Linked DNA regions of Nothobranchius furzeri. The protein of the gene in region 7 interacts with the protein of the main gene of each other region in a biochemical or structural test. Links are inferred from orthologs where the notes say so. Each region holds a gene or a part of one and is shown on either strand. Other genes may lie near its edges.

Region 1 (4,135 bases), on a different chromosome or scaffold from region 7:
ATAAATAATATTTAGGCCTAGTCCACACATAGCCGGGGTTTTTTGAAAACGAATATCCGCCCCTCCAAAAACTTGCATCCACACCACCTTGTTTTAAAACAAAACTGTCCACACGTACCCGGATAAATACGTTGTTAAGGACATGCCAGACCTGTAGGCGGCAGTACCTCCCCCATTCTTAACCTCGTCGATCGACTGTGGTCTTGCGCCAGGAGCAGTAGTTCCTCTTGCAAACACAAACCAGCAAAAAGCGCTTGGACAATTGATGGATCGGGTAGTGACAGAGCGCAGCGCCGAGGGCTTCCATGATGCCGGCTAGTGTAAACACAGGTCGCACACGTGAATTCAGAATTTTTGTGTCGCGGAAAGTGACGTTGCGGACCTTAAAACTCCGGTTTTGTCCGTCCACACGCAGACACCCAAAACAGAGAAAACGCAAATCTTCACTTTGGCCGGAGTTTTTAAAAAGATCCGTTTTCGTGTGAAAAAACTCCGTTTTCGTGTGGATGACAGGCCAAAACGTAGAAAAATATCTATGTTTTGGCAGATCCCCGGCTACGTGTGGACAGGGCCTTAGAGTCCTGCTCTTCATCCCACTCCAGCTGGTGGTGGTGCACCAAGAACCACCACAAAACCGTTCAAATGAGAAGACAACCTACAGAAAACAGGAAAAGAAAATGTTCCTGAAGAGGGGAGAAAATGGACGTGACACAAAGTAGAGCTCACAAATTCACTAGAATACAAAAAAAATAATAATACAGATGTGGTGCCCCCACCCCACTTACTGGTACCCCACCTGGGCCACCCCATTTGAAAAAGCCTGTACACGCCACTGAAGTAAAGATGTTCTGGTGCGGGACCATCGACATATAAATACGGGACCCAGCAGAACTTCTGGTTCCAGAAAGGAAGACATTTATTTCAGATACAAGGGAAAGTAGGAAAATGGAAAAATATAGGAATGAATAGTAGAGATCAAAGAATAATATCAAGATTGGGCTTAATAATACGATGCATCTGATAGGGAAACATCCCACAGGTTTGTGGGGTGGGGGGAGAAACAGTGGAACATGTTTTATGTGACTGCATAAAATATGAGGAAAGTAGAGGACAACTCAGGGAGAAATTAAAAAACATGGGAGGTGGAGTGATAAATGTAAAGAATTTGTTAAATGGTGAAGAAAGGAAATATAAGTTGGTTACTGAGTCTAAAACACAGTGGTTTGTTGAATAGAATTTAGTTTTTTTACGCTCTTACTCCGACTCACACTCCAGCACAGTAGGTGGCGGAAATGCAACTAGAAGTCAGATGCCACCCGCCAATAAACACGAAGAAGAAGAAGCGCCGCTTGTGTTAGCAGTTAGCTCGTTTTCACGCGACTCCTGCGACTTTTTACCTTTTTAAGTAGTTTTGTGTTCATATTTGAAAACGGAGGGCTTAGTCCCAAGTCCGACTGCAACTTTGTTAATTCCCGCCTTCAACTAGCAGCTAAACATTGTGTCATGCTAACGGCTCACTGGTTGGTGTGACGCACACAGGTGTGTTTTACCTGTTCAAAGGCGGAATGAGGCTGAGCAGAGCCTTCATCCGCGCTGTCAGCTCACCTGCAACAGGTAAGAACAAGTGCTGCTTTGTAGAACAGAAGCTCGTCAGGGTTCTGGTTCTGGTTGGGTTCTTGTCAGGCTCAGACGAACTCTGCAGCATCAAAGCGTTACCAAGTAGAAGACGGTAATTATTTACAGGAACTAGCGTTACTTTTAGCTTGTTTGGCTTTTCTCCCGTGCTGTTGGGTTCAAATCTTCCATTCATGCGTCACTAATAATAACATGATGTTAATAACATCAGCTGTTAAAGTCAGACATCTTGTTGTAGGGTGGGAATGGTAAACACACAGAGGGGCAGCTGTGTAGCTCATCACCATCAGAGTGTGAATGGATGAATGTAGGGTCATGTAGTGGGGCTTACAATGGGTTAGGGTTAGGTCAGAACTGGATCTCAGTCTTTGCGTCAGACAGACGTTGAACAGTAAAAGTTGTTCCGGTGGTCTCTGGGATGGAGAACAGCAGCTACTCTGATCGGTTCTGTTTAATGTTGTCTTTGCGCTGCTCAGAAACAGTTGTTCTAACATCAATAATCTGTTGGACAGTGGCATGGAGGTCAGCTCAGTCCAGGATCTTCTGCAGTTCTCCATCAGACTACAGGAAGTCCCAGCCATCCATGCTCAAACATCTGACCTCCAAAATAAAAGCCACTGGTCCAGTGTCTGTGGCTGAGTACATGAGGGAGGTTCTAACCAACCCAGTGACGGTACGTAACATTCCTGTTATCCAGAACATTTTATTTATTATTCCTTCAAACTGATCAGCTGATCATCAGACCACCTCTGGAGAGAGGACTTTGTTCTTATTTCTTCTCGAATTGTGGCAGGACGTTTAGAGTCAGAGCAACAGTAGAAACATGAGACAGGTCCATGTTTATCTTCATAGAGCCCAGACTAAGTGAACCTGACAGTTTGGACCTTAGTTCTAGTTGCTGGTTCTGAATGGACCTGTTTGTCCTATCTTAGGATGGTTTTTCTACTGGAGCTGCTCTTCAGACTGACCTGTCTTCTCCTTTAGGGTTACTATGTGAGGAACAACATGCTGGGACCCGATGGAGACTTCATCACGTCTCCAGAGATCAGCCAGGTGTTTGGGGAGGTGAGCTTCTGGAATCCCTGAAACAGTACCTGGAGGCTTGCAAACATGTTTATGCTCTGGTTCTCATGTCCAGGTTTTGGAGATGGTTCTAATTAGCCGAGGTTCTCCTCAGAGGTGGTGGATACCTTTAAGTACCTTGGTGTTCACAGCAAACTGAACTGGTCCAACAACACAGATGTTCTGTTTCAGAAGGACCAAAGCCGCCTCCACCTCCTGAGGAGGCGGAGGTCCTTCACAGTTAATTCCCAGCTGCTAGAACCCTTTTATCACTCTGTGGTTGGCTCTGTTATCCACTCTGCTGGTCTGTTGGGGTGCAGGCAGCTCTGACCGAGACAGGAAGAAACTGAACAAGCTAGCTAGCTCAGTTCTGAGCTGCCCACTGGATTCAGTTGAGGAGATGTGTGAAAGGAGGATGCTGGGGAAGATGACCACCATTTTAAAAGCCCGTCCCACCCCACTGCATTCCACTGTGGAGACCATGGACAGCTCCTTCAGAGGCAGACTGAGACATCCCAGATGTAAAACAGAACGCTGCCGTAGGTCATTCATCCCCTCTGCAGTAAGCGTGTAGACCTCCTCAGTTTGACTCGTACTGGCATTATCCTGGTACACAATACCACCAATACAATACTCAGTATAGTTTAACTGGTACCCAAAAGTATGACCATATTTCACCGGTTCTTTGAGGCCTTTGCTGGCTTCTGGTCGGGTACAGAATTGATTTTAAAATGTTGTTACTTGTTTTTAAATAACAAAATGTTCTTGCCTCTCAGTATTTGTCTGAGTTGTTGACTTCTCATGGGGCTGTGCAGTGTCTTTGGCAGTGGCGGTTTTACCATTAGGCATAGGTCGGCGGCCACCTGGGGCCCCCTTGTGTTGGGGGGCCCCTAGCCCTGACTGCCGGCACCCCTCTGTTAATGCCACAATATTCTTATTACCATCCTTTCGCCACAGACGGGATTGGACATGCGCACTTCTCATTACCATAATTCCTGAACCGTTCAAGATATCATTAAGATTCCAAAAGTGCTGAAAAGATTAAAAATGGGGCTTTTCGTGCATATGCAATACATTACGGTCTCCACCGGGATTCCCTGTCTTGAGTGCAACCAATCACAACACAGATTCAGAGATATGCTGAGTTTGTCATCCAAAATGCCCCGTTTTAAAACTTTTGAATGGCTGATCAGATTAAAAAAATTCCAACAGTTCCTAAGTACGTAAAAGCAGCTTTCCAACGATCTATAGCATGAAGCAATCAGAGTTATGGAAAACATCGCTACAAGGGGAAATTCTGCTGTACAGCCTGATTGAAACCGAGCGCAGCGCCGCGGTGAAAGCGGAAAATGGAACGGGGAAGCTAATCAGCATAAAAGCCAGCATGAAATTATGGAAATGCCTCAAAGAAAATCAACACGATCTGTTAGGTGTCCCA
Region 2 (4,076 bases), on a different chromosome or scaffold from region 7:
GCCGTGCAGCAACGCTGTTGCAACAGGCCAATAATGTACTCATTCTCTATTTGCTCATGCATCTTGAACTCCTTGAAGGTGGCGCACAGCGACGTAAGAAAGGAACGGAAATCATTGTTGTTGGAGAAGTTCGTTTGAGACAGCTGAAAAAAAAAACTAAAATTAGGTCAGTAGTGAAACTTGAAATATTGTTAATTCTGTTGTCATAGTTATGCTAACAGATGCTTCACGTAATTGTGCACAGTGTACCGCGTTAACAGAAATATCTGCAGTGGTGACCTAAATATGCTAGTCTGACACGTATTGGCAGAGAACTTGCAACCTGCTCTCCAATCCCATTAGCAAAGTAGCTCTGTTAATTGGAACATAACTAAAACTACAAGAGGCGTGTTTCGAGTAGGTTACAAAAGAGCTGATACAACAACATTAAAGGCAAGTAAAACTCAGGCATTTCCACACAAGTCTAACTAAAAACACGTGAATCCGTGTGTAGGAGCAATCCAGACATCCGACAGTTCATCTGCTTCGGTTCACAGCTAAACACACTACCAGCTAACATCAACTAGCTAGCATGCTAACCTGCGCTCAGTCATCCTTTAGTAAGAAAAACGATCGGTTTCATTTGTAAAACTCAAAATTAACGAATTAAATTGATATCTACGCACCTTTTCACAATACAGACCCACAAGCTGCTTCATTCGCCAGTGTGGGCCAGTAAAAACATCCACCTCGTCTGGAAAAGGAGCCATCTTCACTAGTCCTCACCACTGCGTCATCTGCATCGACTCGGACTGCAATATATCAAACACGGAGGAGTGCGTGAGCCAGTCACGTGACCCTAATTTATCATTGGGGCGGTTGTTTTGGGTGTGTTGCCAGCATCGGTCAATAAGTCAATGTTCTCATCAACATTGAACGCGTAACAAGCATATACGTCGATAATTTAACGAATGTGTTACTCCGTGCTAAAAGAAAAGAATGTTTGTAAGCAGAAGGGACTCTAAATTATTCAGTGGTCTAGATCAACATTACTCGCTTGTGTTGTATGTACATAACAAGCGAGTTTAATTCTGATCTAGCCACTGCTTGTCACAAAAACACAGTTTGTGTGAATGTCTGTATCTGAATTCATGACAAGTAAAAAAAAAAGTGAGTAACGCCGAAGCTTAACGACATCCCTCAACGGTGGCTAGCTATTGTAATTGTATGGTGGTTGCTAAGGGAAATGTTCACAGCAACAACCTTATTGGGGGTTGGTTATGAGAGATGATCAACAGCTGTAGGAACCAATCACTTTTCGAGAAATGTCAAATTGTCCAATGAAAACTAAAGAAAGTCATCGTCATCAGCTCGAGCGTGAGGCTAGCAGCGATTTCTAGAATCTCTTCAAAACTCCAAGGATTGGAGGAACTAATGGTAAGTTAAATGTTATTCTCGTAATTAATTTGTCATTTTGATACGTAAGGGTCGTTTTTTATCATCAGGTTTTGAGCGGGACTCTTGTTTTTTGTAGCAATCATCGTCTAGCTAGCTGTCAGCAGCGTTAGCTACCTGGCAGTGTTGACTCTCAGCATCACTGCTCTGACTCCTTCATGTCTTTTTGTTTTATCTAGTGTAGAATTGTGATTAATGAATGACATTTGTTTTCTAACTTTTAATTCAAAGCTTAGAGACAGAGATCATCCAGAACTTTCCTATTTCCAGATTCAGCATGTAAAGTCAGCCTATCTAGTAACATGGACAAGTACGAAAAGGTGAAGAAAATCGGGGAAGGTTCATTTGGAAAGGCTATCCTGGTGAAATCCAAAGAAGATGGACACCAGTATGTCATCAAGGAGATTGGCATATCTGGTGTAAGATGCTTTGCATAATTCACGTTTTCCATGGGTGAGTTACCTCCTCATGTTAATCCATGAATTTACATGAGTTGTATATAATTTTATAGATGTCAAGTAAAGAGAGGCAGGAATCTCGCAGAGAGGTTGCTGTTCTTGCCAACATGAGTCATCCCAATATTGTCCAGTATAAGGAGTCTTTTGAAGGTATTTACATAATTCAGAGTTCACCTGTTGTGATGAAATACAATAATTGTACTACAATAATCTGTGTGTGTGTGTGTGTGTGTGTGTGTGTGTGTGTGTGTGTGTGTGTGTGTGTGTGTGTGTGTGTTTAATATCACTTCGAATTTTTAGAAGGGGGATGTTTGTACATCGTGATGGATTATTGTGAAGGTGGAGACCTTTTCAGGAAGATCAACTCTCAAAAAGGAGTTTTGTTCTCAGAAGAGCAGGTAAGCTTTGATGCTGTAACTCTATGGAGTAATTATTTTTGAATAGCTGTGTTTGTGTTAAATGAATTATGCGATGGTGATTTCTGTTTTGATACCTCCTTGTTTGGTTTGCCCTTTTTCTGTCTTTCCAAGATCTTGGATTGGTTTGTCCAGATTTGCCTCGCTCTGAAGCATGTACACGATCGAAAAATCCTCCACAGGGATATTAAGTCACAGGTACTGTTTTCTGTGCATCTGTGGTTTACAGGCTATTTATTCTATTATTTATTTGTTTGTTTAATGTTGTCAATATGTCTGCACAGAACATATTTTTGACAAAAGATGGGACCGTACAGCTTGGTGACTTTGGAATTGCGAGAGTCTTGAATAGGTGTGTTCAGTGCCTTCTGCTGATTTTCGTAAGGACAACATTTAAACTTGTTAAGACAACAAAAACGTTGTTCTCCTCTCATTTTCAGCACTGTTGATCTTGCGAGGACATGCATAGGAACACCATATTATTTATCACCAGAGATTTGTGAAAACAAACCATACAACAACAAAAGGTAATGGATGAGTTTGAATCAACAGTGTTTCGGTGTTTCCTTCATTTAAAGAGCAAGTCACGCCCAAATCAGCTTTTTTTGTCTTCTAATAAATTATCAATGCATGTCTAATCGCGCTGCAGACACGTGTCGTCAGTAGTTTTGCACTTTAGTGCATTTTAGTCTAAATTTAAATTTTCTGCCTAAAACTGTCAGTGTTGTGCCGTCGTCAGGTAAAAACTCTGCACTGCATTTGAATTTAAATCTGCCATCGCTATTGGCTAAGAGGTACCCTAGAACGTTAGCTGGTACCATGTGATGTCACAATGTCGTTGTGAGCCTGTGTGTGTATTTATTAGTGGCTTCGCCCCCTCGGTCTGCTAGGCAACAGCATTTGTTGCATTTTTCAAACAGGAAGTGGGAGTTGAGTTAGACTCTGGTAGGGGTGACTTGCTCTTTAAATTAGAACCTCTTAGTCCTCATATCCGCACTCTTAACAGTGAGTTCATGCAGGATTGTGTTGCTTATTGGTGATGTCAGCATGGTCACCTCGTGATACTTATACTGCAGAAAGCTAATACTGTTTTCTTCCTTGCCTGTTTTAGGTGTTCATGGTGTCTACTTTAGTCATTCTAACTATTCCAGTGCTTAGTCAGGAGTTTTCACATAGGCCCCAATCAGTTTAACATGCATTAAATACTATTAATAGCCTACTCTGTGAACGTAAACCTTCCCTGACTGCCATCCCTGCCTGTTCATGTGTACCTTATTTCCCTACTGTCCTTCCTTCTGCAGTGACATTTGGGCCCTAGGATGTGTCCTCTATGAAATGTGCACTCTTAAGCATGCAGTAAGTATTTGTGTGTAAGCTGTTCACATATCGGTGCACATTTTAATGCATTCTTTGTAGTCCTGCAGTGTTCACTCATATATTCTGCTCTTGGCTGCAAACACTCTGGTTTCAAATCTGACATTCAGAAATGTCGTGCTGTTGATTTCCACTCTATTGTCTTAAACATGTTCATTCATTATACAAATAGTCGTGTGTGTGTGTGTTTCCTTTTAGTTTGAAGCTGGCAACATGAAGAACTTGGTCCTGAAGATCATTCGTGGTTCATTCCCTCCTGTGTCTGTTCACTACTCCCAAGAACTGCGGTCTCTCTTGGCGCAGCTGTTTAAACGAAACCCCCGAGAGAGGCCCTCAGTCAGCAGCGTACTGGACAAGCCTTTCCTTTTCTGCAGGATAGAGAAGTTTCTCACAC
Region 3 (4,017 bases), on a different chromosome or scaffold from region 7:
ATAAGGCGCCAAATATTGGTGCGTCTGCAGAAACCAGAACACTTCTCGGTCTCCTCTTGGGTTTATAGTCAGATCTGTAAAACTAACAATGCCAGCATTATGAAACTCTCATCACAAGGTAGATGTGCTAAATAAGAATATTTGTGTTGTAAATGTTAAACTCAATTAAGTTGGTGAAATTATAGCATGAAAACTAAATGCGCCATATTTGAACATTTATACTTGAACAAGTAAAATAAATTAGGAATATTTTAATGTTTATGTTTATTTATTTAGCAGACGCTTTTATCCAAATCGTCTTACAAATTATAACCTATAGGGCATGTTGTGATCTGTGGGGGAAACCGGAGTACCCGGAGGAAACCCACGCATGCGGGGAGAACACGCAACTCCATGTATAAAGGCAACAGCCGAGTTTCGAACCTGCAACCTTCGTGCTGCATGCGAGACAACAGTAACAACTGCGCCACCATGCAAATCTGTTATTTTTAGACATATTCATAATATTCATGATAACATACTAACAAGTATGATATTGAATATATTTTACAGTTTTATAGTAAGATTTCTCTGGGAAATGAAGGCAGTCACTGCGCCAACCAATCTCACCATCAGTGATGATGATGAACAGGAGGAAGATGATAATGGGACAAATCCTCAAATATAAAATATTCTAATAATCTATACTTGATCCAAAATAGTATCTATTGTTCAATAACTTTTCAAAAATATTCCACAATGATTGCTTTTTCTTAAAAAAAATTCTAAATTGTTTAATAATTATGAAATATTCTGTATTTTTTAACAGTGATATAATGTTCTAAAATTAGCTAAACTGTGTCTTATAATGATCTATATTATTCAAAAATAACGATTATTTAACTTGTTGGATTTCTTTTACCAGAACAGGGCCAACGTCCATATTTGATCACTTCGTTTTCTCTGACTTTCTGCATGAAAATAAATAGTTTTGAAAATTGTAACAACAGAAATGCCTTTTGGTTATGGACTACAACAACACCCTGGGGTTGAAACATTTTTTTTAATACTTCAATGAGTGCCCTATAAAGAGTTAATAGCAGATCTGGTCTCATCTGTGTAAGATCAATATTATAAAGCCAAATTCCAACGTCATCAGCAGGTGCTTTTATTTTATGCACTTCTGTGTCACGTGACTTAGTCACGGCCAACGTCATCACCTTTCACGGAAGTCAGAGCTGTGACGATGGTGGCCTTGTCGGTTTATTCGCAGGAAGACAATGTTTGCTTTCAATGAAAAAATAACACCGCGTTAGAAAAGAACAGCCGGTGTAGTTTTCTCTGCGGAACCTGCGGGACCTTGGAGCGCTCATCGGCGGCCTAAACGGGCGCTGGACAAGAAAATACAAAAATGTCCCTCTTCCAGTCGGCACTGGATTTCTTAGCCGGGCCCGGCTCATCCGGAGCGGCAAGCCGGGACCAGAACGACTTCGTCGGCCAAGTCGTAGAGCTCGGTGACATGAAACTGAGGATCAAGAGGGTGATTGCTGAAGGTGAGAAACTGAACCACGACAGGAAACGGGACCGTAATCTCTTACAGACATGCTAGGTGGTAGCCGGATAAGCTAAACATACTAGCAGCATCAGTTAGCAAGTGCTGACCTGTGAGTCACCAAATCCCACTCGATCATTTTGTTTCTATCTAGTAAAAATTCATTTTGAATGTGTGAAATGTCTAAAGGAAGACCTGTTCAGCCCATCCCGCACGTTCACGTGACTTGTGTTGTTTATGATTTGGTGGGAGAACGCAGACATTGTAGGTTAAATTACCATAGTGCTAATATAATAATAACAACAACAACAACAACAACAACAATAATGAGAGATATGAGAGGCGTGTTGGTAAACAAACAGCCACATCAGAACAAGTGGCTGTTTCTGGTTTTTGAGAAACTCGTTCTGAGCTGAGATCTTGGGAACAAATGTACACCCCAATCAGAAATATGAAAATAAAGATTATTTTAGAATCCTGGACAATAATTTCCTATGATCCTGCAGCAGACACAGCTTTGTTTGTTTGTTCACAGCAAATTAGATACAGCGGTGGTGTAAAACTACTGAGCCTGTGTTTGTGGTAGCAACACAGTGTAATTAAAGTAAGTTTATTAAGAGTGGACTTTAAGCACATAAGATAAAATCTAAGCATCATTTTTTAAAGAGATTTTCTGTGTAAATATTTTTAAAGGAGCATTTTGTCCTTTAAAAGTCATAATTAACCTGTGTCTTATTTGTTTTCCATTTAATTTATGCACATATACTCTCAGTATATTTACATGAATCAGCATCTGTGTACTCTAAATGATGGAGTTGTACATGCCCACAAGAGGTTAAAGGGAAAGAACAAAACCTTTCAAATCCAAGCAGGTGGAGATCATTTTACTCAAACACTCTGCTTTTCCAACTCCCATGTTGCTGTTTGAAAGACGTCTTTGTTCGTTTTTACCAGGATCTTTGGTGGAACGTGCTACGAATAAGTGACCTGTAATATTCTTGTTGTCGGTTGTATAATTAAGGGTGGAATTTTTAAACAAGGATGCTTGGAAATCAGAAGAAAATGAAACTTAGGTTTCATCTCTCCTCATTGTTACAGGTGCTAGCGTGCAATACCAGTCTGCTTATTTGCTTAGTTTATTATTTCTTTACTAGCTTATCGTTTGCTGTTGCTTTTTAATTTGACTGAAGTGAGATCATGTTATTATAGGTGTAGATGTTACAGGTTTGAATCCCAAACAAGTTCAGGAATTTGGGGCTGGAGTCATGAAACCATCTTCCACACCTGGGCAGTCCCTCTTATGTAAATAAAGTGTTAAAGATTAGAGGCTTGAGCCTGTACTTCTAGTGATTTCTGTTGAGCAAAGCGGAGCTGGTGGTTAATGAACCCCTGGCTACAGTGACCATGCTGGTTTTCTTGGACCTGGTTGTGAGTAGGTTTTTGTTAAAGGTGTGTTTGACTGAAAATACAAATTTTTAAATGTTTTAAAATCCTCAAGAAAGGCGGTTGGATTTTTTTAATTGTCCAACCATCCATTCTCTTCCGCTGATCCGGGGTGGGGTAATGGGGGCAGCAGCCCAAACAGAGAGGCCTAGACTTCCCTCTCCCCAGCCACTTGGACCAGCTCCTTCGGAGGAATCCCAAAGCGTTCTCTGGTCAGTTGAGAAACAGTCCCTCCAGCGTGTCCTGGGTCTGCCCATGGGTCTCCTCTCATTTGGACTGGAGGAAAACCTCACCAGGGAGGCATCCAGGAGGCGCCCTAACCAGAAGCCAGAGCCACCTCAACTGGATCCGCTCGATGTGGAGGAGCAGCGGATCTACTCTGAGCCCCTCCTGGATGACCGAGCTTCTCGCCTATGAGCCCAGACATCCTGCACAGAAAACTCATTTTGGCCGCTTATTTTCACTTTAATGGCACGATAAAACTCCTCCTATTCCGCCTTCAGGATAATAAGTTACGGTCATGTCTACTAGAGTAATTGTAGTTGTGTGTTTGTTGAAAGACGCCTGTTGTGTTGTCACCGTACACTAAAGCTGAAGCAGGTTCTTTTTGTTTTGTGGCAGCAAAGCTAGTTTTTGTGAATGGCTCTGAGTTCTTTCATGAATTAAGCTGTAAAGAGATCAGGAGGACACTTTCAGTGCTTCTGTTCTACAGAAATAGTTTAAGTGTCAGTCTGTAACCGACAGAGAAGTCATGAATGCAGCATTTCTGTGAAAATGTGCGTTTTCAGCCATCCAGGGCCTTCAGGTTAGAGAAGTCCTGGAGACATGAACGGTGTTGTGTTTCCGCTCAGGGTCTGCTCAGCCGTGAGCGGATACGGTCTTGGTTACACGTTACCTGTGGTTCAGGTTTTCTGCAGGCTTTGTGATCCTTTCTGTGGCATTTTACCCTCAAATGCTGAAGAATCCATCAAACTGCACGATGTAGGCTGGCATATTTGATTAATCTCACTCTGGAAGCTGTTGAGAAAAGTTCCACCGAAGTG
Region 4 (4,210 bases), on a different chromosome or scaffold from region 7:
ACTAGTTTTCTATATACTTGACTCTGCCTGAATTAATACGAATTTTGTTAATGGTCCCTAAACAAGCAAAAAATCCTAAACTCTTCTGTTTAAGCATTCAAAGATCAATTAGGTTGATATTTCATATTTATTTGGAATCATCACATCTTATTGGTCATAATTAACTACGTAGATCCATTACAGCTTTCCTACATTGGCTGCCTGTTAAATTCAGAATAGATTTTAAGATCCTCCTTCTCACACATAAAGCTCTTAATAATCAAGCTCCATCTTCCATAAGTGACCTGATTATTCCATATGTTCCTAACCGAACACTTCACTCTCAGACTGCAAGTTTGCTGGTGGTTCCCAGAATATCTAAAAATAGGATGGGAGAAAGTTCTTTTAGCTATCAGGCTCCTCTCCTGTGGAACCAGCTCCCAGCTTTAGTCCATGAGGCAGACACCTTGTCTACTTTTAAGACTGGACTTAAATTATTTGATAGGGTCTATGGTTAAAATCTGATGTTAGCCCAAATCTGGACAAGTGAGGGAGTAGAGGGAGGTGGAGTGTACAGTCGGTAAAAACGACTCTCCCTTGCCCTGCCTCCAACATGCTTCCACCTAAAAGGCTAGGTTATCCAGAGTTATCTCTGTAGTTATGCTGCTATAGGCTTAGACTGCTGGAGGACACACTGACCACTTTCTACACTCTACAACTTTCTTCTACAATTTGCTCTTTAACTGTATTACTTTCTGCTATTTCAGCTGTTTATGTTTTTTCTCTAAGTGTTTTTCTCCCCAGAAGAAGCTAGAATGATGTTCTGCTGAGCTGTGGTGGCCTCATGGAGGGGGCCATTGGCTTGAACACTGTTGCTAACCACTTAAACATTCTCCCTCTCCTGATAATACAATTTAACTTTCTTTGACATTGAATGTGCTACTACTAGTTTACCCATTTAATTATAGATTCACTAGGATAAATACAATAAAGTTTATCTCTCACCAAATAGAATATTTACTAAGAAATCACAATGTAACCATAGAAACACTACTTGGTATATATGTTGTGTGGTGTGTGTGTGTGTGTGTGTGTGTGTGTGTGTGTGTGTGTGTGTGTGTGTGTGTGTGTGTGTGTGTGTGTGTGTGTGTGTGTGTGTGTGTGTGTGTGTGTGTGTGTGTGTGTGTGTGTGTGTGTGTGTGTGTGTGTGTGTGTGTGTGTGTGTGTGTGTGTGTGTGTGTGTGTGTGTGCTCTGTCTTCTCCAGCCCCAGTGAGTCGTGGTGGATGGCTGCTTATTCTGAGCCAGGATCCTCTGGAGGTTTCTTCCTGTTAAAAGGGAGTTTTCCTCTCCACTGTCGCTAAATGCTTGCTTAGTATGAGGATTGCTGTAAAGTCACTGACACTAGTTAGTGACTCGATGCAATTTGCTGGGTTCCTTATGTAGGAAACTTTTAAACTGGTATCCTCTTTAACTGGTCACATGTCTGTTGTGATACTTGTGCTTTCAGGGATGATAGTTAAAGCAGGAACTGACGACATCAAGCTGGACTTTGTTTTATAGCTCAGCTGCTCACACGCCCAGTGATCACTTTGTTTGCTCGGGTCAGCCATCGCTGTTCCAATTCTGTGGTCAGAGGAGGCAGCAACACATTCATTTGAAAGATGTCGAGGTACCACAAGGCAGCGATCGATGGTAACTTGGACCTCTTGAAGGAGGCAACAAGGAAGCACCTGAACACCGCAGATGATGATGGGATGACTCCCACCCTACTGGCTGCTTTTCATGGACACGTCAACGCTCTTCAGCTCATATGCAGCAGAGAGTAAGTTACTTTCTATTATCCAACCAGGATTAGTCTGAAATCAGGCTGTTTGTGGATCAGAACTCTGTCTGTTATTATGATCACTGCTATTCACAAATGAATTATTCCTCCCTAGAGAATTAAATTAAGATTAACAATAAGTCATAAATAACAGCAAAGGAGCAAAGGTCAGCGTTACCGTAGAAGGTGTTTTATGGCTTCTTTTTCATTCAATTGATTTTTATGGGACTTTATTTACACCGGTTGATGTTTTCCATCTTTCTTCCACATTCTCCTTTGAGCAGAGCCAAAATTTTTTATTTGTTCTGTAAAACAAAAGAGCCTTTCATTCAGCCATCTATCCCCCAGTACCCCCACCTTGGCTCCATTAACAGCAACAAAGGACTGGTTAAAATCTAGCCTGAGACCCAGAGAATATGTTTGATACATGACCTAAATCAGAAGTTAAGTCTTTTTATCAGAACCAGTCAGATCTGGGCTTCATAATAAACTCCTGTAGCGATTAAAGCTTTTATGGCTCCAACAGGAAGGAAAACCATTAAAGGCCTTCCAGTTTAACAGCTCAATAGCAACAGCTCATTCTGTAAACCACTGATTTTAACACACTTATTATGTTATAACACAATAATATTGTGGTTTTTATTTTACTTTTATATTACACAACACAAAGGGAGATTTGTGAAGAGACTGCTTTTTGAAGGTTATCGAAAAGTAAAGAATAATAATAAATGAATAAATAAATAACTATATTTCCCATTCATTTATAAATAAAATAGTTTGATCAGCAAAGCACAAGCATGTTGCCAGCGCTCTTAATGATAAACACTCAGATTAAATACATGGAGACGTGTTTAACCAACGTGTGTCTACTTTTTTTTATTATTTATTTATTTATTTATTTCAAAGAACAAGACGAAAATAAGAACAAAAACATGGAATATTTACAACAACACACACAGAAAAAAACAAAGAATGAAAAGGAACAGAGAGAAGAAAAAAATCTTATTTTTTTTTACTAAAGCAACATAAAATTCATCCCCCTCAACAAATTCAACTTGCACACTCACTTTGCAGACACCATCTTAATTCATATTTATATAATTTCTTAATACATTTAATTTGACACCTTTTTAAAATACATTAAAGAGCAAGTCACCCCCTACCAGAGTCTTACTCCACTCCCACTTCCTGTTTGAAAATGCAACAAATGCCGTTGCCTGAGGGCGAAGCCGCTAACAAACACACACACACACACACACACAGGCTCACAATGGCATTGTAACATCACATGGTACCAGCTGATGTCATAGGGTACCTCTAAGCCAATAACGACAGCAGATTAAAATACACATGCAGTGCTGAGTTTTTACCTGAAGATGGCGCAATACTGACAGTTTGGCAGAATTTTTAAATTTGAATTAAGATGCACTAAAGTGCCTAATTATTGACTACACATGTCTACAGCATGATTAGACACTCATTTTTTTCAGTTTATCAGCAAAAAAAGTTATAATAACTAAGGGTTCGAAACTCGGTTGTAGACTTTCTGCGTGGAGTTGCATGCTCTCCCCATGCATGCGTGAGCTTCCCCCACAGATCACAACATGCCCTATAGGTTGAAACATTGTACGTCACTTTGTACGTCTGCCAAATAAATAAACATAAACATAAATAAAGGGTTACATGGCTCTCTATAGCGAGTGTTACTGATGGCTTTCTGTTAATGCCATTATTGCCATTGAAGTTAGATGTTTTGTCCTAAATCCATATTGTTCATGGTTTAAAATATTATTGTTTTCAATCAATCTATCCAACCTTCATTGAAAAAAAATATATATTTTAAACCTTGAACAGTATCGATCTGACTTAACCACTGATGGTGCTGTAAAAGTCTATCTGTTGTGAGCTCAAATACAATATTTATCATTTCCTTTGCATATAAACACTTTTTTGTTTTTATTCAAATACACATTTTTGCACAGATAATGTTAACTACAAAGAAGAAAACATTATTAATATATATCAGAGTTGGAAAAAACATGATGAAAGTTATTTTGTTCATACAAAAATTAATTTTACTAACTGACAACAATAATAATCTTTGTTTTATCGTTTTTGCAAGGTTTTCTCGACATCTATAATAAGGCCTACTTCGTTTTCATTCCTTTCTCCTCTGCATCTGTTTTGAGCTGCAAAAGACACGTTGTTGAGCTAAACTTTAAAGTTAAAATATGGAACACTTTTCTTATTTTTTAAATAATACCCCCACAGGGCGTTTAGAGGTGCAGGATGAATGTACAGTTTCTCCTTTAAAAGCTATATTTAAAAAATGCATAATCAAATTTTTATTTTGTTGGGCATGACACTGGCTTTATGTTTACATCTACTGGAACAGGGTGCTGAAACGT
Region 5 (4,179 bases), on a different chromosome or scaffold from region 7:
GGCTTCCACATTGTGACGGTCTGGATGCTAGAAAAGAGTCCAAGTTGGTGCAAAGCAGAGCGTGTTGTGGTTACACCAGTGAGACGAGGAGCCCTGCAATGGACTGCTGAAACATGCACCAAGTTCATGCAAAAATGTTAACTCTTGCAAAAACTAGAGAACACATGTATATTCCTTTAGAATGGATTGAAGACATTATTAATAGCATATTACTCGATACTAAGGAATGCAACTGCGCACATGCACAAAAAGTTTTTAATATAAAAATGGCTATATATATGAAACATACAAATATATATATTTACTTAGAATGCTATGCACCCCTGTCAACTGGGATTCCTGTTATGTTATGGATGTCCTTTTTGCATCATACAGCTGTAGCTACTAAGAGACTTTTAAGTTTGGGTAATGCCTGCAACCTGGGGATAAATAGGGGTTTTGTGGGTGTTTTAACTTATTTTGTTTGCTTTTTTATTGTCATGGAGAGTCAAACATAAAATATACATGTGAAAACCTTTTAATCCAATCAAAATCTGAGGGCATCTGTTGACAATTTACTCTGTACACCAGCTCAACATTTACAAAAATTAATAAAGAAATGAAACATCTTTGCGTATTGCGTGTAATTTTTTTCATGTCTTTAAATGACGTTTCTTGACTTTGAAGTGTGTTTTTTCCTGACTGACACAGTGAGTAGATCTTCGCTCGTTTAACCATCCTGCCAGGAGATGCATCAAGCTTTGGGGGAAGTCTGTTATAGACGTGCTGCAAAAAAGAAACATGAATTCAAAGAAATTCATGAAATCTGAATCTGATTTAAAAGCTTCTCTTTGTGTTATTAAAACTTGTGAAGTTATAGATCTAACATCTCAGAGCTAGGAATGTGGTCAGAATAAATAAAACAATTATGTAAGGGCTTTTAAAAGCAAATTGTATTGAAAATACATTAAAATGCCGAAGAAACACACACACACACACACACCTGAATAAATTCAATAATTATATTTGAGCAGAAGATGACAGCAGGATTTACTTACTGATTTTGCTCCTTTTAAATAAATCATCTGTCAACTTGACATGATTTAAAATCATTTCGGAGGCGGACTAGAATAAGGCAATCTTCTTGTTGAAAGCATAATAACGCAATATAACGTTCCTTAAAAGGTGAAAATCTGGAACAGTGTCTGCAGATTTTGTATTTAAGAAAATTTTCAAATAGAATGAGGTGAAAATAAATACATAGTTTTTTAAAAATAATAATAATAATTATTATTATTATTTTAATCTCTGTAGCCTAGTATGCACCAGTAGATGGCGGAATAAATTCGTTTAGTTTGCACCGAACAGCGTTCTCCCTACAGGGCTGCAGCAGCCTGTCTGTATGCCTTGATGGTCTGCCTGCGTATGTCTGTGTGTTGTTTTGTGTGCATGTGGAAACAGAGAAACGGGTGCTGCTGAGGTCCTTTTTCACCAAACATCCTCGACCCGTTTTGAGTGAGAGCGCGTGTGTTAATGTGGCTAACTTTAATCGCCATAGTTTGCACTCATGAAATCTAGATATTTATTTTTATTCATCAGAAGGCGACCGTTCTGCTGCTGAGCCAAATCTAACACTCCTCTGGCTTTGTTCTGTCAAACCCAGACGTTCTTCTTGTTTCATGTCATCCAGTTAGTTACTTTTAATTTTTTAGTTGAGAGAAGATGTCCACAGACTTTCAGAAGACAAATGCCAAGGCCATCCCGTCCACCAGGACAGTGGCCGTCAACGAAGCGGACCACATGCCACACGACTACTCCACTACTCCCGGGGGGACCCTTTTTAGCACCACACCGGGCGGTACGTTGTGTGTTTTTAACTCCACATTAACGTTTGTGTGCTTGGTCAAAAGGTCAGTGGCACGAGACCTGAATCCATTTAACAGCAGCGTTGTTGCGTGTGTTCATGCTAACTCCATGAGGTCGGCTTGGCTGCTGTCATCTGATAGCTAGCTATACTGAAGCTAACCGCTAACGCTAACTAGCGATCATTGAAAAAACAGAATAGTGAAAAACTAAAAAGTGGCTTTGAGGCATATGACCAATGTCGTTTTGTAAATGTAATTTTGCAACACAATAACTAATTTTCAATTAAGTGAAAATCGTTTTTAGGGTTTTACTTTGACTTCTGTACATCTTGTCACTGGGATCTGAGTCACGTGATCAAATCGGTGCTCTTGAGTTTATTGGCGGTGACCTAACCAGTTTAAAAGCCCATTACGACCACCTACTGGACTGGAATTTGGGATCAGATGCAGCAAAAGAAAAAAATCCAGTGGTGGGCCTAGAAAAACATGTACGGGGTGGCAGAAGGGGGCAAAATTTTGAGGATGGTAAAATGGAGCATAAATTACTATACTCTTTGGGCACACAAAAGCTTTTGAACTAAACTATCCATTAAAAATGTGTCTGTGAATTCCTATGCACTGAGCTGTACCAAGGTCAGCATAGATGCACTATATGGAAAGAAATAATAATAACAATAATGGATTGGATTTATACAGTGCTTTTCTTGGAACTCAAAGCGCATTCCATTAAAGTCCCATTAGTCATCATCACACGCTGGTGAAATGACATCTCCGTATTTGACCCATCCTCATGGGGAACGGTGAGCTGTAGCAGTGGCTGCACTCGGGAACTATTTGGTGGTTAAAGATGAGTGTCTAGCAGGGAGGCATTGGGTCCCATTTTTAACTCATTCACTGCCAATAGTCGTCATTGGAATTTTTTTACTGTGTGGGCATTGGAACGAGTCCCCGCGCCGAGAAGCAAACGTCTCAGCTCTGAAGCTGATCTTCATCCGCATACGTCACAGGTCACATGACCAGGAAGCAGAAAATCCATGTGTTAGGAGATCGGTTTGGGTTGTTCCTTTAAAAAAAAAAACATGAGGCGCGAACCGGAAAAGCGTCTGCCGATCACAATTCGACAACGAATTATGAAAGAATGGATAACGCTTGAAACACGCGGATTCTTCCTGATCTAAGAGGTGAGTCTCCTCTTTGTTTTGGTTGTTTTGGCGTCGACATCATCCTAGCGCGCAACGTTCTGTGACTCTTAAAAAACAGTAAAAATGGCGAGAAATGCTGGCAGTGAAGGTCTTCAGCGATCAGGAAATGGCTGGCAGTGAATGAGTTAAAGTCTTTGGGATAACCCGATGAACCACGATCTCCCAGTTCCAGTGCGGACACTCTTACCACTAGGCCACTCAGAAGGTTATATTGTTCACACTCTCACGTTCACACTGCCGGGGATGGTAAGCTACGATGTAGCCACAGCCACTCTGGAGTGGGCTGGCATTTTGTGCCACCACCAACACAATGTTTCACTGCAACAAGGTACTAAACTTTAGTTTTATTATTCACTCAAACACATTTCTTTCCCTGTTAATTCATCAGTATTTACATAACCATATATGTTTTTTTTATTTCAGGTCATTATTTTATCAGCTTGTGTCATGATCGGTGTAATCGGACATGCTACTTTCACATTCATAATGTCTGATTTGCCACAACTATTTCATGAATTATTGCTGCCTTCTTCTGAGGTGGCAAAACTTTCCTTTAGGGAGGCAGTTGCCACCCCAGTAGATCAGCCCCTGAATAAATCCAACAAAACTAGATTTTTTTTTAAATCTGACAGATTGTTTATTTTAAGAGTTTAATGAGGTCAGAGCTGTTACTGCTTTGCCAAAGAGGCTTCATTGTTTAACTGACATTGTGATTAAAACTAGGGATGCACCGATACCTCTTTTTTCCAAACCGATACGATACCGATACTTGGATCTGGGTACTTGCCGCTGCCGATTACTGATACCGATACTTCCACCACACAAAAAAATGCAATGATATGGAATACAGATTTTATTTTCTTCTCTGCTTTCAACAGGAAAAGACTGTGAGGTAAATAAAAAGTAAAATATATGAATGGAAATCATCACAAAACTAAAATATTAGGTGAACAGAAATGACAAGTTACAGTGAAGCCATTTTCAAGCAACTGCATTGGTATCGGTTCCTGGTATCGGTTAACTTTCACTGATACCGATACTGGTATCGGTACCGATGCCAGTATCGGTATCGGTGCATCCCTAATTAAAACAGACCTGTTATTTATTTATTTCAGATTTACGTTAATAACACA
Region 6 (4,258 bases), on a different chromosome or scaffold from region 7:
TACATCACAGAGAGAGCTCTGGTGCTGTAGGAGAAGTGTGTTGAACTGAATTTGAGTGTTTATGCGAGGTTCTGGAGATAGACAATGTGTGAGGGTGAGAGAAAGTGTTAACTAAAGGTGAGAAATAGACAGAGGTGTGTGTGTGTGTGGGGGGGGGGTGGGGGGGGGGGTGCTGCTGCTGCAGTGTTTAACTGAAGGAAAGGAAAATGATTTCATCTCATCTCTGTAGCATCTCTCCGGATTTTTAGCTCTTTAGTGACCTGCTGGAGTCAGAAACTAAAACAGACCTATGAGGCGGCTTCCTGCAGCACCACCGTACTGCACCGTCCTCCATCTGTCGCCCTCAGGAAGCAGAATATCAGCCGATAAGTGCTGCTGGTCCTAATAATCAACAGTCTGCATTACAGTCACATTAAATCAAAAATTCTAAGCAGGAACTTTCAAATCAACACCTTATTCTCTCCCAAACGGCATCTGAATCCATTTTTGTTTCGATCTATTAGTCACCGAAGAACACACAGACAGAGCTGCTATTAAAGCAGAGAAGAGTTGCTATGGGAGCCTGGAGGGCCAAATGGAGTTGGTGTCATTCAGAAGCCTCCAGGATGCTGTGCAGAAGAGCGTTTGCCTCCTCCTCTGACTCCAGCGCTGCCACACGACACTTGGTTACAGCCTTCAGAACGGCAGGAAGTGTGAATTATTTTTGGCGCCATTTCCACAGCCTAAATCTGAGTTTCCATACAAACTCAACCTGGTTTCAGTTTCGTTCCTGTGAGTCAGAAAGTGGAAGAAATTGAGAAATCTTTGACTAGTAAAGCGAGACACTTTGTGACTCGCTTGTCACAAAACATTTTACGGGACGTTTCTTTGCCCCATGTGACATGATCAATGATTGATCCCTGTAACTGAAGATTTGCTCATTTTCTGACCATTGTGTGTCTTCGGTTAGTCGGCAGCAGTTGCAGTCAGACTCCGGCCTGGAATCCATGACCTTCAGGCTTCCTGCTGATGGGTCACTTTGACTTAAATAGCAAACATGAGTGGAAATCCAAGAGCTACGAGGAACAGGATCCGCCTTTGATCCCTCAGTTCTCTTCCTCTGAACCATTGCAGCCACACATCAATTAGAAATCACCGATTTACACAAACCTCCGGAGACCCAACAAAGCTTGCTAAGCCTTTGTTGGTTCCACAGCTGAAGGACTCCGGACGTCCCTCAGCGCACCCCCGCTGCTGACCAGCCTGCAGGCTGTTAATAGCTGAACAGGTGTATTCTAGCACACTTCAAAGCTAGCGCTTGACTTGCACCATCCTTTTGGAGCTACTCCAATAACAAGACTACATGGCACGTGCGGGGGTGGTGCAATCCTGGCGGCGCCGCCACCACCGACTGCTGCCCTGGGTTTCAATTGCACATCTTGGGAAATGGGAGATCTGATGGCAGATTCCCCCTAAAACTGCTTGCCTCGGCAGCCCTGCTGCCTTAATTGGAGCTGTGGGAGAAAACCACCGTGCCACTGGGTCAACGGCTTTCTGTCTGGGTGTGAGCTGATCTGGAGCCTCTCCAGCATCCTTAAAATTGAAGCTGTCTCAACGTTTGGTTGTTTGAAGGCTGGAAATGAGCAGTGGGGCAGCAGGAGGTGATGAAACCTAGAGTGTGGAGGCAGATAAATATAGAGCTGGCATCTAGTCGCTTAATGAACGGCTCGTGATTTGTCTGGGTATTTCTGGACACCTAGAGGTCTGTGTGACATCATTGGGTCAGTTTATTCTGAGAGGTAACCTGCTGCTGTTCCAGCTGCTGCCGGGTCAGAGGAGCAGCTGGCCTGGTCATGACTGAAACCACGCATCCCTTAAAACATCCATGACTGGATGAGCTTCAGGACTTCTTGTTGCAGTTACGGATAGCGTTTCACAATTCCTCCCACAATCTCCGAAAAGCAGCTCGAAGGGAGTTTCTGAGTGCTTGTTTGACATCTAAGCGTGGCCTCGGCCCGGGTCACGCCTTTGCCCAGAGAGACCCTCTCTTTGAGGCTGCTTTAAAAAGGCACATACCACAGAGGGTAATGGCAGCCTTACAAAACAGACAGAGCTGCTTGAAATAAACCTCAATTACAGGCAAAGGTCTGACTTTTGAGGAACCTGGTGCTGTGAGTGGATAGTAGGGTGGAGTATTGGTTCTGTGCTCCGTCTCACTGCCCTGGTGCCACCCGCGAGCACTGCCAGAGTTATCCTTGGCAGATGTGAGCAGGACTCAGAATGAAACATGACGAGAATGTCAACACGATAGCAGAAAATAAGACGTTTTCTGAGTGTAGCCTCCTCAAACCCACTCCTCTTGAGAAATAACACTCTGCAGTTGAGAAAAGCATGCTCCCGCCAGCAGCTGGACTGAAAATGTCTTTCTTGGAAAAGCCGGAGAAGATCATGTTGCCAAATTCCTGTCATAGATGTAGACAGACCAGCGTTTCCATACATGTCCACTGTTCTGGCGCACATTAGATCCCGCTGCACATTCTGTACTGATGCAAGATGGCACGAAACCTGAGATAAAACATGCTGCCACTCACCTGGGATGCTCTGATGAGGGAGGGGGTGTCGTTGTGTTTTGGTGAAGGCTGCAGCTCCTGAATGAAGTGCTCCTGAGGTTTGCTGACACTGTCATAGGGCTGCACGTCTGGCGACTGGGACGCCTGCCGGACAGCTGTGTCAGAATTGCTCTCCGGCTTCTTTTCCCCTCTCCAGCCAGTCGAGTCTCCTCCTACGCCTCATCTCACTCCCCCCACTGGCTTTCTCCTCCTCTCGTTTGCTTTACTCGCCTGTTTCTCTACTTGTTTCTTCTCACATGCCTTTTTCCAGCAGCACCTGTGCACGTCTGTCCTCTCCCTCGCAGAGCTTGTGTTGGTTTGGTCAGTTTGCGGGTGATCTTCGTTCCCCCAAAATAATCACAGATGGACGTCTGCCTGCCTGTTTCTTTCTCTAAAATGCTCCTTCTTAGTGTGTAAAGTGCATCTTGTTTCGGTTAGAACCTGATCTGGAGATGCAGTTGGGACTCATCCTGTCATATCTCTTTATTAATGGCATCTCTATTATTTCCCTAAACTGCGTTTTGTGTCAAATCATGATGTGCTGGCCCTTTTCAGAGAGCTGCAGCAGGCTGAGGCGTGACCAGATGAGCAGACGGATCACTGCAGAGTGCTGCAGCACTGCAGCACACGTGGGGGGCATTTACAGGCAGCGCATGGCTGCAGCAGACCATATAAATTAGGGTTTAAACATCTAAAATCTAATATAGCTACATAATAAATTATAAAATATCCCGTCACCTTGGTAACCATTGCAGCTCAGAGGTGATGTCACAGAAATTTCCACCGAGAAGAGTAAAGTGTGTGTTTTAGCTTTTGCAACAGCTAGGTGGAAGAGACGTTACAGCTTGGGGGAGGGGACCTGCGGTCGATGCTCGCAAGTTGCATGTTTAGAAGGTAGAATTGAATTCCTGTCCTCACTAGCTGCAGCAGAAATTCAATCAAATCCATGATCTGCCAGCAGGGGTGCTTCTAAGATGTGACGTTTAGGGGGCTCAGTCCCCTTAGCACTCCTGTCCGCGACTGTTGGTCAGAAGACTGCGGTTGCCATGTTGGGTCTAGTTTTACACTCTTAGAACAAACTAACATCCAAACAACTCCAACCCATGTTAACTGTTGACCACATTTGTATTAGCCAGACTCTCATGTGCAGAAGTCCGGGTAAAGAGGAGTTACAATGTCCTGCTCCGAATGCAGGTAAGGAGCACTGCTGCCAGGGGACTGGGCTACCTGTGAGTGCTTTGGGACTGGAAGAGGCCCGTTTCAGTCTCCAGTTTCACCAGAGAAGGTTGTTGGATCAGTTGCAAAAGACTCATACGAGAAGTCAGGAAATGTGTGAATGACAAAAAGGACCCGTGATTATCTATGATTTTCCTTCACCTGCACTAACATCCAGCCACCCCAGCTCCATCCCATAGTTCAAACCAAAAATAATTTAACAAAAATTGGATTGAATTCAGAAACGCACCAGAAAACTTCAAGAGATGCAGGTGAAACTGGAAAAAAGAAATCTGGTGCAAAATTTCATTTGTGTCAGTAAATCAACTTAAAGATGAAACTATATGAGGTCTGGGGGTGCTGAACAGGTTTCCATCTGACTTGGTTCAAGATAAAAGGCAGACATGGATGGATGTGTACTGAGACATGAAACTTTTAAAGCAAGCATAAAAACT
Region 7 (3,500 bases):
AATCCTTTAAAAGAATGGCCTTGGACGAGCTTACAGATGGCAGTCATTCCCCTCCCATTCCACCTTGTTTCTTCTAGGGCTGCCGGCTGAAAACTAGGGCAATGAGGAGGCAGTGTCAGAAGTTTGATGTCCTTATCAAGCTTATATTTCTGTATGATATCTCGCCATATTTTCAGGGTTTCTTCTACAATGCAATTCTTACACCTTTGGTCCATGTTTTCCTCAATAGCCAATTTTCTCTGTGGTTTATATTTCCCTACCTTTTCTTCAATTCGTTTCCAACTCACCTGATAATCCGTAGGCTGCATATCTTAGTTGTGACGCATAAAAATATTCTTATAAATTGGGTACGGCTAATCCTCTATTCTCTTTAGACACTTGAAGGGCTTTTAATTTAATCTGTGGTCTTGCGCCCGCCCAAATGAATCTGGAGATCTGTTTATCCCATGCATTGAATTGAGATTCTGGGATTGAGCCAGGTATTGAGAGGATAACATGCAGGAATCTGGGTAGCAGATTCATTTTCACTACTTCCATCCTAGATCTGAAATCTAAAATAAGTTTTGACCATTTATCCAAGTCCCTTTTAATCTTATTATTTATCAAATTATAGTTCATCTCTTTTGTTTTGCTGAGGTTGTGGGCGATCGACACTCCCAGATACTTTATAGATTTGGAGTCCCAGTTAATTTGGTATTTGTGTCTACAGTGGTATTTGGGATGTAGTTAACTGTGTGTCTTTGTGACATTAATTTTGTAACCTGATACATTGCCATAGGTTTCCAAATGAGTAATAAGTTTGCAAAAAGTTAATTCTGGGTTTTGTAATTATATAATAATATCGCCAGCAAAAAGTCCAATTAAATGTACCTCATTAGCTAAATGAACCCCTTTTAACTCCCGGCATTGTCTAATGTTTTGAGCTAGGGGTTCGATATAACTAGCAAATAAAGAGAGACAGAGACAGCATCCCTGTTGGGTGCCTCTGAATATCTGAAATCTGTCCGACAAGAGTCCACTGATCTTCACTCGACCCGTTGGAATTCTCTATATAGTGCCTTTATGCATTTTAATATTTTAGTACAAAAGCCAAATCTTTTAAGTACTTCCAACTGTCGAACGCTTTTTCAGCGTCAAAACTAATTAGTGCTAGTGATATATTTTGATTATGATATTGTTCCACTATATTTAAAGTTCGCCTAATGCTAATTTGCGTTTGTCTCCCCTTTATAAATCCAGTTTGGTTATCGTGAATCGATGTGGGTAAATATTGCTCTAAACGTTTGGATAGGATGGATGTAAACAGTTTGTAATCCACGTTTAGTACAGAGATTGGACGATGAGAATCACAATGTTCCTTGTTTTTCCCTCCTTTGGCAACACCGATATCAGTGCCTCTTTCCAAGATGGTGGTATTATTGCAATTCAAAGTCCAATTAAAAGAGTCCAACATTATAAGGGTTAAAGTTGTCTTAAATGTTTTATACCACTGACTAGGAAAGCCGTCATTTCCTGGGAATTTGTTTGATGTCAACCTGTTTATAGCGTTTTCTAGTTCCTCCATTGTGATTGGTTTACTTAAGGCATCGTTTTGTTCCTTTTGCAGTGAGGGTAAGTTTAAATCTTTGAAGTACTCTATAATCAGACTTTCATTACTTTCCTGTGGTTGGGAGTAGAGTTTTGAATAATAGCCTTTAAAACTTTTTGATATTTCTTCCGGTTCAAATAGCAGTTTATTGTTCATTAGATTTCTTACCTTGTGTGTTGAATTTCGCGTTTGCTGGGTTCTCAAACGTTTTGCCAACATTTTAGTTGCTTTACATCCTGATTCGTAGAATGTTTGTTTAGTAAATCTTAATTTTTTTCTCTATTTCTCCTTGTAATATTTCGTCAACTGGTTTCTTGACGTCTTTTATCTGATTTAGGTGGTTTTCGTCTGTTTTCTTTGGCTGTGTTCTTTCTAAATTCCTTAATAATTAGATGGATTCCTCATATTTTTGTTTATCGTATTTAGGTAGGCTGTTCTTGCTATAAGCTTCCCTCTCATTACTGCTTTTATTGTATCCCATATTATAGTTGGCTCAACCTCGACAGTGTTGTTTTCTCTCATACACTCTTCAGTCTGATATTTATCATTAAGTATACTTACATTTAGTCTCCAAGTAGTGTTTCCTACCCCCGTTCTCAAGTGAAGGATAAGACTTATAATATTATGGTCTGAAACATCCGATGTCCCAATTTCACACTTAATCACTCCGTGTCTATTGAGAGAGTTCATGAGGAAGCAGTCTAATCTCGCGTAAACCTGATGTACAGCTGAGTAATGTGTGGGACCTTTTTCAAGTTTGTGCATGTCTCTCCACACATCGATCAGCTCTGACTCTTTTAGGAATGACTTGAGTGTTCTTGATCTTTGCCTTTGGTACCCTTTCAAGATTGTTGTATCTATTGATTTGTTTAGTATTGTATTCCAATCTCCCCCGCGTACTAAAATTCCCTCACTTTCTGAGATTGCTGCATCTACTAATAAACGGACACATTTTGCATCACACTCGGGAGGGACATGAACGTCTGCAAAAGTTATTAGGATGTTATCAGTAAGAGGGAAATTCTTTCAATGAACTTTTCAGTAAACGTTTCGTTAGGCCTCCGTCTCTGTCTGTCTGTTCAGTTTGCGATCAGTGGACATGAGAACCAACAACATCACGGTTCTCCCGGGTCCGGGCTTCTGGGCATCCAGTAACATCAGGGAGCTGATTTTCAGTCAGAACAGCATCAAAGTTCTGGATGTGAGTGGACCAGTCTGCAGGTGGACCAGACTGGAGAAACTGCACCTGAGTGACAACAGGTTGACTGAGGTAAAGAACCCTACACAGGATTTAATGTGAATGTTTCATAACAGAGGACAGATTGTTGTGATGTTTGGATCCAGATCCCTCCACAGATCGGCCTGTTGGAGGGTTTGACGTCCCTAGATGTCAGCCAGAACTCCAATCTGCGATCCTTCCCAGATGAAATGGGAAAACTAAGCAAGCTGTGGGATCTGCCGCTGGATGGCCTTCGACTGGAGCTGGACCTGAAACTCATTGGAAACAAGACTAAAGACATAGTCAGGTCAGAGGAGGAGCTGTGCTGTTGATATTATTTACAGAAGAAGACAGATTCATCTGATCTTCAGGGACATAAACAGAACACAAATATTTATCTGCTGTGTCTGATCTAACCTCTCAGGTTCTTGCAGCAGCGGCTGAAGAAGTCAGTGCCGTATTATCGCATCAAGCTCATCGTGGTGGGCAACTCGGGCAGTGGGAAGACCACACTGATCAGGCAGCTGATGAAGCTCAAGCGCTCGCAGCCAAACTCAAAGCAGAGTTCTGTTGGTGTTGAAGTCTCTGACTGGACCATCAGAGAATGGGACAAGAAGAAAATGGTCCTGAATGTCTGGGACTTCTCAGGTCAGCCTGCATGTGAAATCTGACTCCACTAGACTAGAGGTCATC

The links.
Region 1: the proteins of lrrk2 (region 7) and ndufaf7 form a complex in vitro, tested with the Homo sapiens proteins (2 studies listed by BioGRID and IntAct, with this or other methods). The link is inferred for Nothobranchius furzeri from reciprocal best matches to the Homo sapiens genes LRRK2 and NDUFAF7.
Region 2: the proteins of lrrk2 (region 7) and nek1 interact on a protein array, tested with the Homo sapiens proteins (2 studies listed by BioGRID and IntAct, with this or other methods). The link is inferred for Nothobranchius furzeri from reciprocal best matches to the Homo sapiens genes LRRK2 and NEK1.
Region 3: the proteins of lrrk2 (region 7) and gak interact on a protein array, tested with the Homo sapiens proteins (3 studies listed by BioGRID and IntAct, with this or other methods). The link is inferred for Nothobranchius furzeri from reciprocal best matches to the Homo sapiens genes LRRK2 and GAK.
Region 4: the proteins of lrrk2 (region 7) and anks4b interact on a protein array, tested with the Homo sapiens proteins (2 studies listed by BioGRID and IntAct, with this or other methods). The link is inferred for Nothobranchius furzeri from reciprocal best matches to the Homo sapiens genes LRRK2 and ANKS4B.
Region 5: of the proteins of lrrk2 (region 7) and eukaryotic translation initiation factor 4E-binding protein 1, one has a biochemical effect on the other in vitro, tested with the Homo sapiens proteins (3 studies listed by BioGRID). The link is inferred for Nothobranchius furzeri from reciprocal best matches to the Homo sapiens genes LRRK2 and EIF4EBP1.
Region 6: the proteins of lrrk2 (region 7) and cdc42ep3 interact on a protein array, tested with the Homo sapiens proteins (2 studies listed by BioGRID and IntAct, with this or other methods). The link is inferred for Nothobranchius furzeri from reciprocal best matches to the Homo sapiens genes LRRK2 and CDC42EP3.

What each region holds. Positions count from the first base shown.
Region 1 is NC_091742.1:17,055,007-17,059,141, reverse strand, and holds the start of ndufaf7 (protein arginine methyltransferase NDUFAF7, mitochondrial), read left to right. Parts: upstream 1-1,335; 5' UTR 1,336-1,565; coding exon 1,566-1,614; intron 1,615-2,147; coding exon 2,148-2,308; intron 2,309-2,619; coding exon 2,620-2,700; intron 2,701-4,135. UniProt on the Homo sapiens protein: Arginine methyltransferase involved in the assembly or stability of mitochondrial NADH:ubiquinone oxidoreductase complex (complex I).
Region 2 is NC_091748.1:39,057,581-39,061,656, forward strand, and holds the start of nek1 (serine/threonine-protein kinase Nek1), read left to right. Parts: upstream 1-1,276; 5' UTR 1,277-1,416; intron 1,417-1,704; 5' UTR 1,705-1,736; coding exon 1,737-1,853; intron 1,854-1,945; coding exon 1,946-2,042; intron 2,043-2,192; coding exon 2,193-2,290; intron 2,291-2,422; coding exon 2,423-2,506; intron 2,507-2,592; coding exon 2,593-2,660; intron 2,661-2,748; coding exon 2,749-2,835; intron 2,836-3,609; coding exon 3,610-3,664; intron 3,665-3,880; coding exon 3,881-4,076. UniProt on the Homo sapiens protein: Phosphorylates serines and threonines, but also appears to possess tyrosine kinase activity. Involved in DNA damage checkpoint control and for proper DNA damage repair.
Region 3 is NC_091757.1:57,439,124-57,443,140, reverse strand, and holds the start of gak (cyclin-G-associated kinase), read left to right. Parts: upstream 1-1,217; 5' UTR 1,218-1,390; coding exon 1,391-1,532; intron 1,533-4,017. UniProt on the Homo sapiens protein: Associates with cyclin G and CDK5. Seems to act as an auxilin homolog that is involved in the uncoating of clathrin-coated vesicles by Hsc70 in non-neuronal cells. Expression oscillates slightly during the cell cycle, peaking at G1.
Region 4 is NC_091752.1:56,799,427-56,803,636, forward strand, and holds the start of anks4b (ankyrin repeat and SAM domain-containing protein 4B), read left to right. Parts: upstream 1-1,410; 5' UTR 1,411-1,641; coding exon 1,642-1,802; intron 1,803-4,210. UniProt on the Homo sapiens protein: As part of the intermicrovillar adhesion complex/IMAC plays a role in epithelial brush border differentiation, controlling microvilli organization and length. Plays a role in assembly of the complex.
Region 5 is NC_091757.1:46,259,649-46,263,827, reverse strand, and holds the start of eukaryotic translation initiation factor 4E-binding protein 1, read left to right. Parts: upstream 1-1,379; 5' UTR 1,380-1,701; coding exon 1,702-1,837; intron 1,838-4,179. UniProt on the Homo sapiens protein: Repressor of translation initiation that regulates EIF4E activity by preventing its assembly into the eIF4F complex: hypophosphorylated form competes with EIF4G1/EIF4G3 and strongly binds to EIF4E, leading to repress translation.
Region 6 is NC_091752.1:7,949,782-7,954,039, reverse strand, and holds the start of cdc42ep3 (cdc42 effector protein 3), read right to left. Parts: upstream 2,801-4,258; 5' UTR 2,571-2,800; intron 1-2,570.
Region 7 is NC_091744.1:48,474,694-48,478,193, forward strand, and holds part of lrrk2 (leucine-rich repeat serine/threonine-protein kinase 2), read left to right. Parts: intron 1-2,671; coding exon 2,672-2,858; intron 2,859-2,932; coding exon 2,933-3,114; intron 3,115-3,231; coding exon 3,232-3,455; intron 3,456-3,500. UniProt on the Homo sapiens protein: Serine/threonine-protein kinase which phosphorylates a broad range of proteins involved in multiple processes such as neuronal plasticity, innate immunity, autophagy, and vesicle trafficking.